Linked DNA regions of Diceros bicornis minor. The protein of the gene in region 1 purifies or fractionates together with the protein of each later gene. This does not show direct contact. Links are inferred from orthologs where the notes say so. Each region holds a gene or a part of one and is shown in the gene's direction. Other genes may lie near its edges.

What was found. Proteins that work in one complex are often made in the same cells at the same time.
Region 2: the proteins of EP300 (region 1) and CTBP1 purify together in Homo sapiens (affinity purification with western blotting; 5 studies listed by BioGRID, with this or other methods). This does not show direct contact. The link is inferred for Diceros bicornis minor from reciprocal best matches to the Homo sapiens genes EP300 and CTBP1.

What each region holds. Positions count from the first base shown.
Region 1 is NC_080764.1:9,284,160-9,290,340, reverse strand, and holds the start of EP300 (histone acetyltransferase p300), read left to right. Parts: upstream 1-2,530; 5' UTR 2,531-3,744; coding exon 3,745-3,838; intron 3,839-6,181. UniProt on the Homo sapiens protein: Functions as a histone acetyltransferase and regulates transcription via chromatin remodeling. Acetylates all four core histones in nucleosomes. Histone acetylation gives an epigenetic tag for transcriptional activation.
Region 2 is NC_080747.1:643,250-648,731, reverse strand, and holds the start of CTBP1 (C-terminal-binding protein 1), read left to right. Parts: upstream 1-1,591; 5' UTR 1,592-2,090; coding exon 2,091-2,130; intron 2,131-5,482. UniProt on the Homo sapiens protein: Corepressor targeting diverse transcription regulators such as GLIS2 or BCL6. Has dehydrogenase activity. Involved in controlling the equilibrium between tubular and stacked structures in the Golgi complex.

The sequences.
Region 1 (6,181 bases):
AGACATTTCCTTCTGACTGTGGAGAAGCCAGTGTGGTAGCCCGGTAGCATTTGCCAGGCCCCTGGCACTGCCAAACACCTTACATGCGGTAATCTCATTTTCATTCTCCCAGCAACTCTTCGAGTTAGGGAAGATCCTTTCCTTTTCAGAATGAATGACTAGAAACAGCTAAGGTGTATTGAGTGCTTACTATGTGCCAGGCACTGTGATAAGCATTATTCATAAATTATCGTGTTTAATCTTCACAACAATAAAGTAGGTCTAATCAAGAAATCTATTTTACAAATGAGGAGACTGCCCAAGTTGCACAGCTGCTAAGTGACAGAGCCAGAATTTAAACCCAGTCCTGGCTGACTTTAGTGCCTCTGCTCTTACCTGCCAGTCTCTGCTGTCTCCTGCGTTTCCCTCTCCCACCCTCCCCTACCCACCAGCTGCTGGAAGACAATTCCTTCTTCATGAACACACTCTTAATCTACACATAGCACTCCACAACTGATTAAATTTTCATTTGATTAGGGTAGATACAATCCAGGCTGATTCAATTCTGCTTTTTTGAAACCATCTGAAGTCTCATCTTGATTGCATTTGTGTGATCCTTGTTTCTCCAGCCACCTCCAACATGGCTGACTTTAGGGTCCCAGGTAAAGACCCAGAGGAGCGGATGCCAGGAAGGAGCTCCATGCATCAGAATTCCCAGTCTACAGCGGAGCCTTCATTTCTGGGTAGGTCCATGGCCCCTGACTCCTCTTTGCAGAATTTTCCCACGAGAGGTTCCTCAGATCTTCCAGAGGCCTCCTGTACCTAGTCCCACAGTAATTTTGGCTAAGCCAGCTGAGTATGTTTGAATGCTGCTTAGACTCAAGCTGGATCCTCTGCAAAACTAAGCAAATCTTGTCCCGAAGTTCAGAAACTCTTCACACAATCGGGTGAGCAACTTTCCACACGGAAATGATGGGCCAAGTTTCCAGATGTTGTTCACATTTCTTTCCTCTGTCCTCTTTACTGTGAATGTGAGTATAAACTATTAAAAATAATCGAATCATTCCTGAAGGCCAGTTTTGACCTTAGCCTTACTTGTTGAATCCATCCTCTAACAACTCTAAGATAAGGAGGTACTGTCCTTTTCAATTTGCTTGCTTTTTTTTTTTTTTACTGCAGTTTGGGTGAATTAGGCCTGAACATCACACAGAATTCCTCTTTGTTGGCAACCTGAGTTGCTTCATTAAGATTTTCGCTCCTAGGTTCTTATTCTCATCATTCATTTAAAAAGCCAACAACAAAAACCAAAGTAAACAATAATAAGCAAACACTAACTAAGGAGCATGAGATTTGAAATATGTTAAAAAGCTTTTAACTATCTCCATAGATACTGGATTGGGGGTTTCCTTGGGGAACACCAACAACCTTGCCACCTCCTCAAGTTGCAGTTTACCCAAGGCCAAACACAGCGGAATCCTGTAATGTGTAGGAATGTGAAAGCATGCTGCGAGGCTCTCCTCTGCAAAACCGTGTTGTCACACACATTGCACTTTATTTATATTCAAGTGTTTTTCTCCATCGTTACATTTTTGCTTTTTTCCATCCTTACATTACCTTTAGCACATTACGTTTTCGCTTTTTTCCATAATTACATTATCTTTAAGGCGCTGTCTAAACGTGGTCTTTTATTAAGCTGGTCTGTTGCGGGTGGGTGAAAAGAAATACCCTAAAATGTCCTCAGGTCCCAGACGTGTTCAGAAAAATAATTCCAGGCTCCTTTGGTGAGAGGGCTGATAGAGGCAAGTGGACCCGTGGTGGGCAAGAAACGAATTTAGGTCTGGTGCTAAAACATCTTCCCACTGCTGTGGTTTTCGTTTTCTGATTATCAAAATAATATATGCTCACTGTCAAAAAATTGTAAAATTCAGAGAAAAGGGAAACAACTCGTAATCAGCGTGATTTTTGGACGTGAACCGTTCCCTTTCGGAAAACGATGGAGGAGAGAGGACGCACTGGGTCTCTGGCCCGGAACACGGGGCGGCGGGGTACCCTCTGCCGGCTGGATTCAACCGAGGTTCGCACGACCGGCCGCCCAAGGGCCCGGGAAGCAGGGCCATCCCCACGGCGCTCTCATTCGGCCACCTGCGCGGTGACCTGGCGCCTTCCCCGGCGTCGCCCCCGAGCTCCGTCACCCCGCGGTTCCCACCGGTCCCTACGCGGAGACCCAACCCAGGCACCTTCCCCCGTAAGTGTCCACCGACTGAAAATAGATGCAAGTCCACCCCCGACCCCCCCTTCAAATCCTCCCCTTTAAAGGGAGCCACCGGGTGACGCCGGGGGAGTTTGCGGAAGCGCCAACCGCGTTGGGGCCTTGGGCGGATCCCGTGATTGCAGCTAGCCCCGCCCCCGGGTCCTCTTCCCCCATTGTGTGAGCGGCTCGGGCTCAGGCCCCGCCCCCTCGCCGCCTCCCTCCGGAGGCCCAACCCCTCCCCTTCTTTTCACCCCCCCTTGGCTCATTTCCGGCCGCCGCTGCTACCGCTAGCCTGTAAGGAGGATTCGGCAGAGGGAAGAAACAACAGCCGCCATCTTGTTTGTGTGCTAGGCTGGGGGGGAGAGAGGGCGAGAGCGAGCGGGCCAGAGTGGGCAAGCGGGACGCCGGGCTGAGTGCGAACTGCGAGAGCGAGAGTGCGGAGGGGAGCCGGGCCGGAGAGAGGCGGCAGGGGCCGAGACAGTGGCAGGGGGCCCGGGGCGCACGGGCTGAGCGACCCCCAGCCCCCTCCCGTCCGCACACACCCCCACCGCGGCCTGGGAGCCGGGCCGGCGTCGACGCCTAGGGGGGACCATTACATAACCCCGCGCCCCGCGGCGCCTTCGCCTGCCGCCGAGGGCGGCCCCGAGCGGAGCCCCGGGGGGCGGGCGCTCCCGGCACCTGGCCGCCGGGGGTGGGGGCCGTAGCGGCGGCCGTATTTATTTATTTTCCGCGGGAGAGGAGGCCGCCTGCGCCGCCCGCCGGAGCGGGGCCTCCTCGGTGGGCTCGGCGTCGGCGCGGGCGGGCGGCGCTGCTCGGCCCGGCCCCCTCGGCCCTCTGGGCCGGCGAGCTCCGCGCCCGGCGTCCTCGCCGCGCCTCCGCCGCCCGCCGCGCGATGTGAGGCGGCGGCGCCAGCCTGGCTCTCGGCTCGGGCGAGCTCTGTGCGGTCATTAGGGGCCGGTGCGGCGGCGGCGCGGAGCGCGGCGGCAGGAGGAAGGCTCGGAGGGTGGGGGCGCAGGTCCGGGAGGGGGCACCGGGAGGAGGTGAGTGTCTCTCGTCGCCTCCTCCTCTCCCCCCTTTTCGCCCCCGCCTCCTTGTGGCGATGAGAAGGAGGAGGACAGCGCCGAGGAGGAAGAGGCTGATGGCGGCGGCGGAGCTCCGAGAGACCTCGGCTGGGCAGGGGCCGGCCGTGGCGGGCCGGGGACTGCGCCTCTAGAGCCGCGAGTTCTCGGGAATTCGCCGCAGCGGCCGCGCTCGGCGGATTTGTGTTCCTGTACCCTCCTCCGGGCCTGGGCCAGGCCCGGCCCCTCGCACTTGCCCCTACCTTTCTATCGAGTCCGCATCCCTCTTCGGCCAGCGCGACCCGGCGAAGAGAAAAAGGAACTTCCCCCACCCCCATCGGGGGCCGGCGGAGCCCCCCAAGCCCACCCCAAGGAGCGGGGCGGGGACCCCGGCCTGAAGAAGAGATTGCCCGAGGATTCTCGTTTTCCTCGCCTGTATCTCCGAAAGAATTAAAAATGGCCGAGAATGTGGTGGAACCGGGGCCGCCTTCAGCCAAGCGGCCTAAACTCTCATCTCCGGCCCTCTCGGCGTCGGCCAGCGATGGCACAGGTTAGTCTCGGGAGCCCTGGCCCTCCACATCCCCCTGAATCTTTGCTGCTCGGTGCACCTTTCTTCTTCCAGATTTTCTTCCTTTCTCTCTCTTCCTAGTTCTCTGCCTCTTGATTAATTTTAAAGGTGTTTGAATGAGCTGGTCAAAGACGTCCAGTAGCCCAACCATTTTCTTTGCTTCCTAATACATTGGTTGCAACACTATGTCATATCGATGTGTGTTCTGGAATTAGAGTTCTTGAGTGGTGCTGTAGAAATGGCCTTTATTGTTGCTCCCATGGAATTTAATTTTGGAAATGCCAGTGCATTTGCGTGTAAGGGTTTTTTATGCAACCCTACTTTTAATTTGTTGATAAATGAGGAATTGCCAGTCCTTTCTCTTTGATTGCACTTATTCTGTTTTCTCTACTTTCGACTCTTCCTTTTCAAGATTTTCTCTTCTTTGCACGAGATTTTCTGCTGAGTATGAGTGTGTAAAAAATCTTGGTTTTGTTTATTTGTGTGTGTGAGATGCAGGATTTCAGGTTTGACGTGAGTTTTAACGTCAAAACTGAAATTTGATTTGAATTATTTTACCTACCGTTCCTAGCTTTTTTTTCTTTTTTTTAATCTTCTTATTTGCTTTAAGAATCAATATGGAGCGCAGTTCATTTTACATCTTCCATTTCTTTGGTATGAGACCAAAATGTCTGAAACTCTGGGTTTTTAGGGTGGGAGAGAGCAGAGGCATTTTCTTTGCAGTTTGTTGTCACTTTCTTTGGGGGGGCGCAGGAAAAATATAATCGATTTTGTGGAGTTATGTACTTGGAAATCAAGATTAGAAGTTGAAAGAGCCCCAATCATGAACTGCAAGCATGAGCTGATCATACAAAAGTTTAAAATATGCATTAGGTTTCTATTTGTGTGTTTTTGTTTTTTTACGCTTTTAAACGTATTTGGAGATCAAGATTTCAGTTTAACAAGGCTCTACAAATTCTTTGCTTCACAAAGTTGTGGACTAGCCTTTTGTCAGGAGAAAGTCTGGGAGACTTCCTTCCATCGTCCTCTTCTTACAGTTAGTTTGGTGCTATTCTGATGGCCCCCGACCTTCTCTTTTGCTGTCATAGTTGTTTGAGGTGCCAGGATAATGAAGAGGAAGAATGGCTGGCTATCTGACAGTCCACAAGATGTTCCCCCTTACTACGGAGCATCTCTTTAACTCCCGAGAACAGGCTCAGCGTCATCTCTCCATCTGCCAGTGAGAATGCATAATGGAGTTAAATGTACCCTTTGAGTTTGTAGAAAACTTCCTAAGCATGTTTCTAAGTAGGCTTCGCTTCAAAGGGTGAAAATGTAAGGCTATGGCAAATGCTTTGGATTCTTTGCTCTTACGAAGAAAGATGTATCGTGAGTTTAAGATAACCTGCAAAAATTGAGGAGTTTTGCAGAGTTCCCCTGCTTCAGGCTTGTCACATTGGCAATGCGTGAACTTTGATCTGTCCTTATTCCTTGAAGTTTCTCTAGTCTTCAGGGATTTTTTTTTTAACCTGTCTTTTTTTCTCAGAATTCATACACATATCGAGTATTGTATTTCTTTGCACTTACTCAAATGTCATTCAGAAGAATTTTTAGATCACCTGTAGACACATTTTCACCTGTAGATTTGTGTTATTTCTTTAGTTTTTATGTAATGTGGTAGTTTTTGCTCTTTAGTTTCTGTGTAATGTGGTAATTGGTTTTTACATTTGAGTTAGCCAGTGAGTTGGGATATTGTAGAGAAAACTTTATGTGCATTGTTTTGATGACTTCTGATCTGAGCCCCTTAGTCTTGGAGTAATGCAAGGCCTGAAATGTTCGAACACCTCTCTTCTGGTGCACTCCTGTGTTCTCCATATTTGATCCGTGTACTTGGTAACTTTAGCTAACTCCTTTTGGTAGTGTCTCACCTGTCTAATACACAAAAACTGTTTTGCTACTTGAAATATCTTTGGATAATTATGAGTCCTAAATGTATCGAGTGAGTTTTTATAAAACAAGCCCTCAACATTGAGATTAACTCAATCTTAGTACTAAGAGTTTATCTTAGCATTAGTTACCTTTTTCTGTATTTTGTAGTGAGGGTTGATCCCCCCCACCCCCCGTTAAGATTCTACTCCAGAAATGATTTGGTATCCAATTTTTACTCCTAGCCAGTCTGGGTTTTTTGTGTGGGAGGCTGGATATAAAGAAAATACTGTCCCCCTGTGAACGTACTTCCAAGTTGGGCACCATTACTTTTTTTTTTTTTTTTGCGTCCTGCAGTGTGTAGTATACGTTTGCAGGCAACTTTTAAAGGAGACACTTCACTTTTTAAAACTTTAAATT
Region 2 (5,482 bases), on another chromosome or scaffold:
CACGTTCAGAACAGTACATCAATTCTTCCCACACCTCCATTGAGCAGTTCCCATCTCAAATACATGGGGGTGGGGGAGTAGAGGCCCCTGACGCCAGGGAGCTGACAGTATAGCAGGAAGAAAGCCCAGATAGAAAGGTAACTGCTATACCAGGCATAAGGGTAAGGGGGAGAAGGTAGCCATGGGAAAAGCAGGGGAAGGCAGCATAAATCACATGTGCAAAGGCCCTGTGGCCACTGGGAAGAAGAGCCATGTGGCTGGAGCATGGCAGGCTGGGGGCGGGTGGCACCTGGCTGAAGAATGGAAGGGAGGTTAGAGGCAGATGGAGATGGGCCCAGGCCCAGAGCCTTCTGTGATAAGAAGCTTGGATTTCCTCTCTAGTGCAAGGAGAAACCTTAAAGGTTTTGAGCAGGGGACAATGGAATCTGATTTACAGTCTGGGGCCACTCCCAGGGACGAAGTGATGTGGGGGACCCTGGTTTGAGGGCTGTGAGGTGGAGGGGGCAGGTATCAAGGGGCACCCTGGGTCTCAGCGCTAGAGGTACCGAGAAGGCCAGGAGGAGCTGGAGGAGCTGGTCCAGGCCACGTCAGGGGGTCTGGTCCTGTACGATGTTAAATGAGTAAACCTCTGCCTGGGGGAACGAGCGGGAACGTGTGCGTGAGACACGCACCCTGCTCTGGAATTTTGCTCTTTCTTTTGCGACTGCTTTTGTGTCTGCATTTAGGAAAGTTCTCTGAGAAGTTTGCTAACTGCTCATTTACATCCTGTCTTCTCATTTTCCCTACATGTTCTAATTAATCCGATTTGGGAGGTATTTTCATAGGTGAGTACCAAGTGAGGGTTTAAAAGCATCAATTTTGCAAATAGCTACCCAGTTCCCTATCATCCTTTACTGAATCCACCTACACTTTCTCATCGGTTTATGAATTTTAAAAACATATAGATTACAGGATTGATTTCAGGATCGTCCACTATGTTCCAAGGAGCTGTACTGATAGTTTAGTGCTGTCCTGTTCTAATGACGTGCTTCTCCCTGAGAGGACGGCTATGGTGCCTGTCTTCCCCTTGGGGCCTGGCTAGCTCCCACCTTAGGGGAGCCGCCATGATCCTCGGGGCTGGGTCCCCTCTGGACTTCCGGAACTAAGCACAGGCTGCTCTCTCAGGGACTGGGGGTGGTGGCCAGAGGAGCCGGGCATGGACCCACACACCTGCCACCTCCCAGGGACCTCACCTGGGCTCAGGGGTGTCTCTGCTCTAACTACTCAGTGCTGGCTTCTGGCGCTTTGCTCACAGCCCACTGGGGAAGCTCGTCCCGGGGACTCCCGTCCAGGCCGCCTGGCCCAGATGCGCCCCCTGGAACCCAAGTGTAAGGCCAAGCTTTCCCAGAGAAACCCTCTGAGTTCCGACCTGTGGCCTCCCGCTACCCTGCGGCCGCCCGGAGCCGGAAGGCGGCGCGGGCTGAGCACCTGCAGCGCCTCCTGGCTTGGGCCCAAGGACATGTAAACCACTGGCACCCAGGAGCGTGCTCACGAGGCCTCTAGCCCGGTCTTGCGCCGCTGGCGCCCAGGAGGTGCGGGGCAGGTGCGTGTGTGGGGCAGGCTCGGCCCAGGGTGTGCGTGTGCGTGTGCGGGGCAGCTACGTGTGCAAATGCACGTGCCTGTGCAGGGCAAGTGCATGCGCGGGGCAAGTGCGTGTGCATGTGTGTGAACCGGGCAGGTACGTGTGCAGCTGTGTGTGCAGGGCAGGTGCGTGTGCTGCTGTGCGCGCGCGTGTACAGGCCAGGGGAGAGCCCCGTGGCCCCGGCGGGGCGGGCGGGCCCGGCCTGCAGCCGCCCGCCCGCGTGGTGCAGCGCGGCGCCCGCGCCTGGAACCAGGAGGCTGCTGGGCCGGAAGCCCCGCCCGCGCGCGCGCCCCTGTCCCCGCCCGCCCGGTGGAGCGGCTGCTGGCGCGGCGCGGCGCGGCTCGGCACGGCGGCGCACGGGCGCAGGCGAGCGGGCGGAGCAGCGGACGGCGCCCAGGCCGCCCCACGCGCCGGGCTCGCGGCGGAGCGCGCCGGACTGGTCGGGGCCCGCGGCCGCCCGCGCCTTTCAATGGGCAGCTCGCACTTGCTCAACAAGGGCCTGCCGCTTGGTAAGGCCGCGCGCGCGCACTTCCGGCCGCGGGCGGGGCGGGGCGGAGCCGGGGCGGGGCGGGCGCGCGGGCCCCCGGCTTTGTGTGCGAGTGCGCGTGCGCGCCGGCGTGCCCGCGCCCCCGGCCGGGGGCGGGGCCGAGCCGGGGGCGGGGCCGGGGCGGGGCCGCGGGAGTGCCGTGCGCGTGCGCGAGCTGCTGCGTGCGAGTGAGCGTGCGCCGGCGCCGCCGTCACGCCCGCCCCGCCCCCGCCGCCGCCCGCGCAGGTGACACAAAGGGGCGCCGGTCACCCGACCCTGCTGACCCCCGCCCCGGGGATCCCGCCTCCTAAGACCCCCAGTGTCCGCCCCGCTGGGACCCCGACCTCTCGGACCCATAGCCCTTCCCGGACCCCAGACTCTCAGACCCCCGGCCCCTGACCCCTGACTCGTGGACCCCCGAACCCCCGGAGCCGCGGACCCCAGTCCCTCGGACCCACAGCTCCTCCCAGCCTCTGATCCTTGACCCTCGGACCCCGGCATCCCACCCCGCCAGGACTCCGGAATCCCGGGTCTCGGCCGCCGCACTAGGTCACCTCCCTGTTCTCAGTGTCCCGTTACACGCTCCCGGGTACACTGCCGACCTGGCTCTGAGAGAAAGGACAGGATGCCGTGTCTCCTGGGCACGGTAACGTCCTGCCGGCGAGGACTGCAGGGCCAGTCACCTCCCTGCCCCACGGGAGCCCGCCGGGCCCTTCCCTCCCGGGTCCCCCCTCCCAGCGCCGGGTGATGCTGGGCCGCTCGGGCGGGGGCGGGGGGAGCAGCGGTGGGGCCGGGGGACGGAGGTTTTCCCTGAGGAGCGGGCAGGGTGGGCGCTGCTCCACCACTGGAATTTATTCAGGCTGTTTTATTGGCGCTTGTTCTTATCACAGGCTTTGTACTGGTATTTGAGGTTTTCACCCATTTTTTAAAAATGTATAAAATTACAACGTTCAGCTTGTGGGGGGCACCCTTCCCTCACTGGCTGGATGTCCTGGGCTCAGCCGTGCAGCTAGGGGTCTGCCTGGACTAGGCAGGTGGAGGTTGGGGGGCGGATCTCCCCTGTCTAGGCAGGTGGAGGTGGGGGAGGTCTGCCAGGTGGGGTGGGGTCTGCCCGGACTACGCAGGTGGTGGTGGGGGTCTGCCCCATCTAGGCAGGTGGAGCAGGGCCTGGGACAGCCACCCACACCGTTGAACTCAGCAAACCCTGTGCTGCGCTCCCTTCTCTGAGCCAGTCTGTTTCCTCAATAATTCAAGAGATCTGGACCCAATTCTGTTTGTCTCAAGGCACGGGTTTGTCCCCCTTGTGTTTTGAAAGATATCAGAACAAGGACCCTCACGGGCACTCTAAGCAGCACTGGGGACCAGCCTGTCTCCCCACTGGGGCCCTGAACCTGGACTGTCGGGGGCAGGCTGGGTTGGGGACACCCTTGGGTGGGTGTTGGTTAGATCGCCGGTTGGAAGATGCCTGCCATGGTGTAAGCTCCTTGGCAGAGCCCAACTCTCGGTGGCCATCTTGCACATTTTGCAGTTCCCGGTCAACATCCAGCTGCATGGGCCTCCTCCTGGGAGGGGCTGTTCCGGGGTCCGGCGGGGAGGGGCCATGTGGTCTGTCTGTCCTGTGGCAGCCTGGCTGGCTGAGGGCCCTCAGCTTCCTCCTCCCGCCCCTCCCCCAGCGCAGAGTTGCCTGTGGGAGGAGGAGCTGTAGCCGCACCTGAGGTTGGTGGCTAGAGCTTTCTCTGGCTGGGTCCCCAGCCTGGCCCCCTGCCCGCCTGCTGAGAAACGAGGGTGCCGCCCCGGGCATGCCCAGGAGGACAACTTTTAAGCCGGCGGTGTGTTGGAGAAGCCAGAACCTGGCCAGGGCCAGACCCTTTAATGCTGATCTTCTCTGAGACTGGTTGGGGCGGGGAGAAGTGGAGGCGGATGGCTTTTTTTCCGGGTACCCTGAACTGAGCAGTCACGGAGGTGAACCCCTTGCCTGCTCCTGCTTTTCTAGGCGGCTGCAAAGTCAGGTTTCTGTGGGGCCGAGAGTGGGGACCAGGCCGTCTGTGTGCGGAACCTTTCCTCTCCTTCTCAGGACCCACCATGCTCTTCGTCTGTAAGATGAAGAGCAGCTTCGTCTGTATAAGACGTACAGAGGAGCTCTCAGCAGAAAGCTGGCCCCAGCAGCATGGGCACTGAGGGTGCCTGCAGCTAGTGCAGAGCCGCCCGTGGGAGTCAGTGCAGCCCCTGCACTCTTGTGTGGGGCGGCATCTCCGTAGAGGAGTGACCACAGCCGGCCAGAGCACAGACCTGAGCCCGTTCCCAGGGGAATCCCAGCGGGTGATCTGGGGCTCCTCGTGTGGCTTCTCCATGCATGTCTGAGGTGGGGATGGCATCATGAAGCGGTATGGGATCACAGGAGTGAGCATGTGCTAAGTGTTGGCAGGGCCAGGGACATAGGGTGGGGGACAGGGACAGGGTTGGGGGACAGCGCAGGGGATAGAGCTGGGGGACAGGAACAGGGCTGGGGCAGGGAGAGGACAGACTGGAGCAGGGCCGGGGACAGAGCCAGGGGCTGGGGCAGTGCCCGCCCTCGTAGCTGCCGTGTGTGCTCACCGTCATTGCCCTCATTGTTCTGGATTTCAGCCTGGCCACGTGTGCGGTCTGGGAGTTGCGTTCCCTATGCTCTAGAACTTGGGCGTTGTTGAGGCTGGCCATGTGGGTCCTACTGGACCTCGTCGTGGGGGGCCTCTCTCTGTCACCGGGTTTGGTCTGTCCCTGCTCATTCCATCTCCTGTGGCGCCTACAGCGTGTTCTTCTGGCCCGTGGTGCCTTGCTCTGGGGCCGCACTTCCTGCAGGGAGAGTCCGTTCTGCCCCATCAGCTCTCCCAGCTCCTCCTTAGTCGGGCTTCATCGCCATCCTTGAGTGCATGCTTTGGTTGGGGCATCTCTGTGAGGTCTTGTGAGGGACATGCACTTGGGGCTGCGTAGGTCCCGCTGTGTGCACGCATGGCCCCCTGTTCTGCCCACTGCTCCCGGTCCTCCCTGGGGGTGTTTGTGCAATTTCGGCCTGTTCAGCCGTATGGGGTGGCTCTCCCCCTCTCTCCAATTCTGAGAAACAGGCTCGGGGCTGGGATGCTGGATCCCAGCTGCTTGACTTTCCTCGCTCCTGGCTGTGTTGAAGTTTCCCTTCTGGCCTCTTCTCTTCAGCCTCAGGACACACGGGGAGGGAGGGCTGGGGGCGCAGGGCTCGAGGCTGGGGCTGGTCTTGCCTATCCCACTGAGGTCCTGGTAAGGGTCCCGTGGCAAGGCCAGTTCTGGGAGGTGGAACACCCCTTGTGCACGTTTGTATGGCA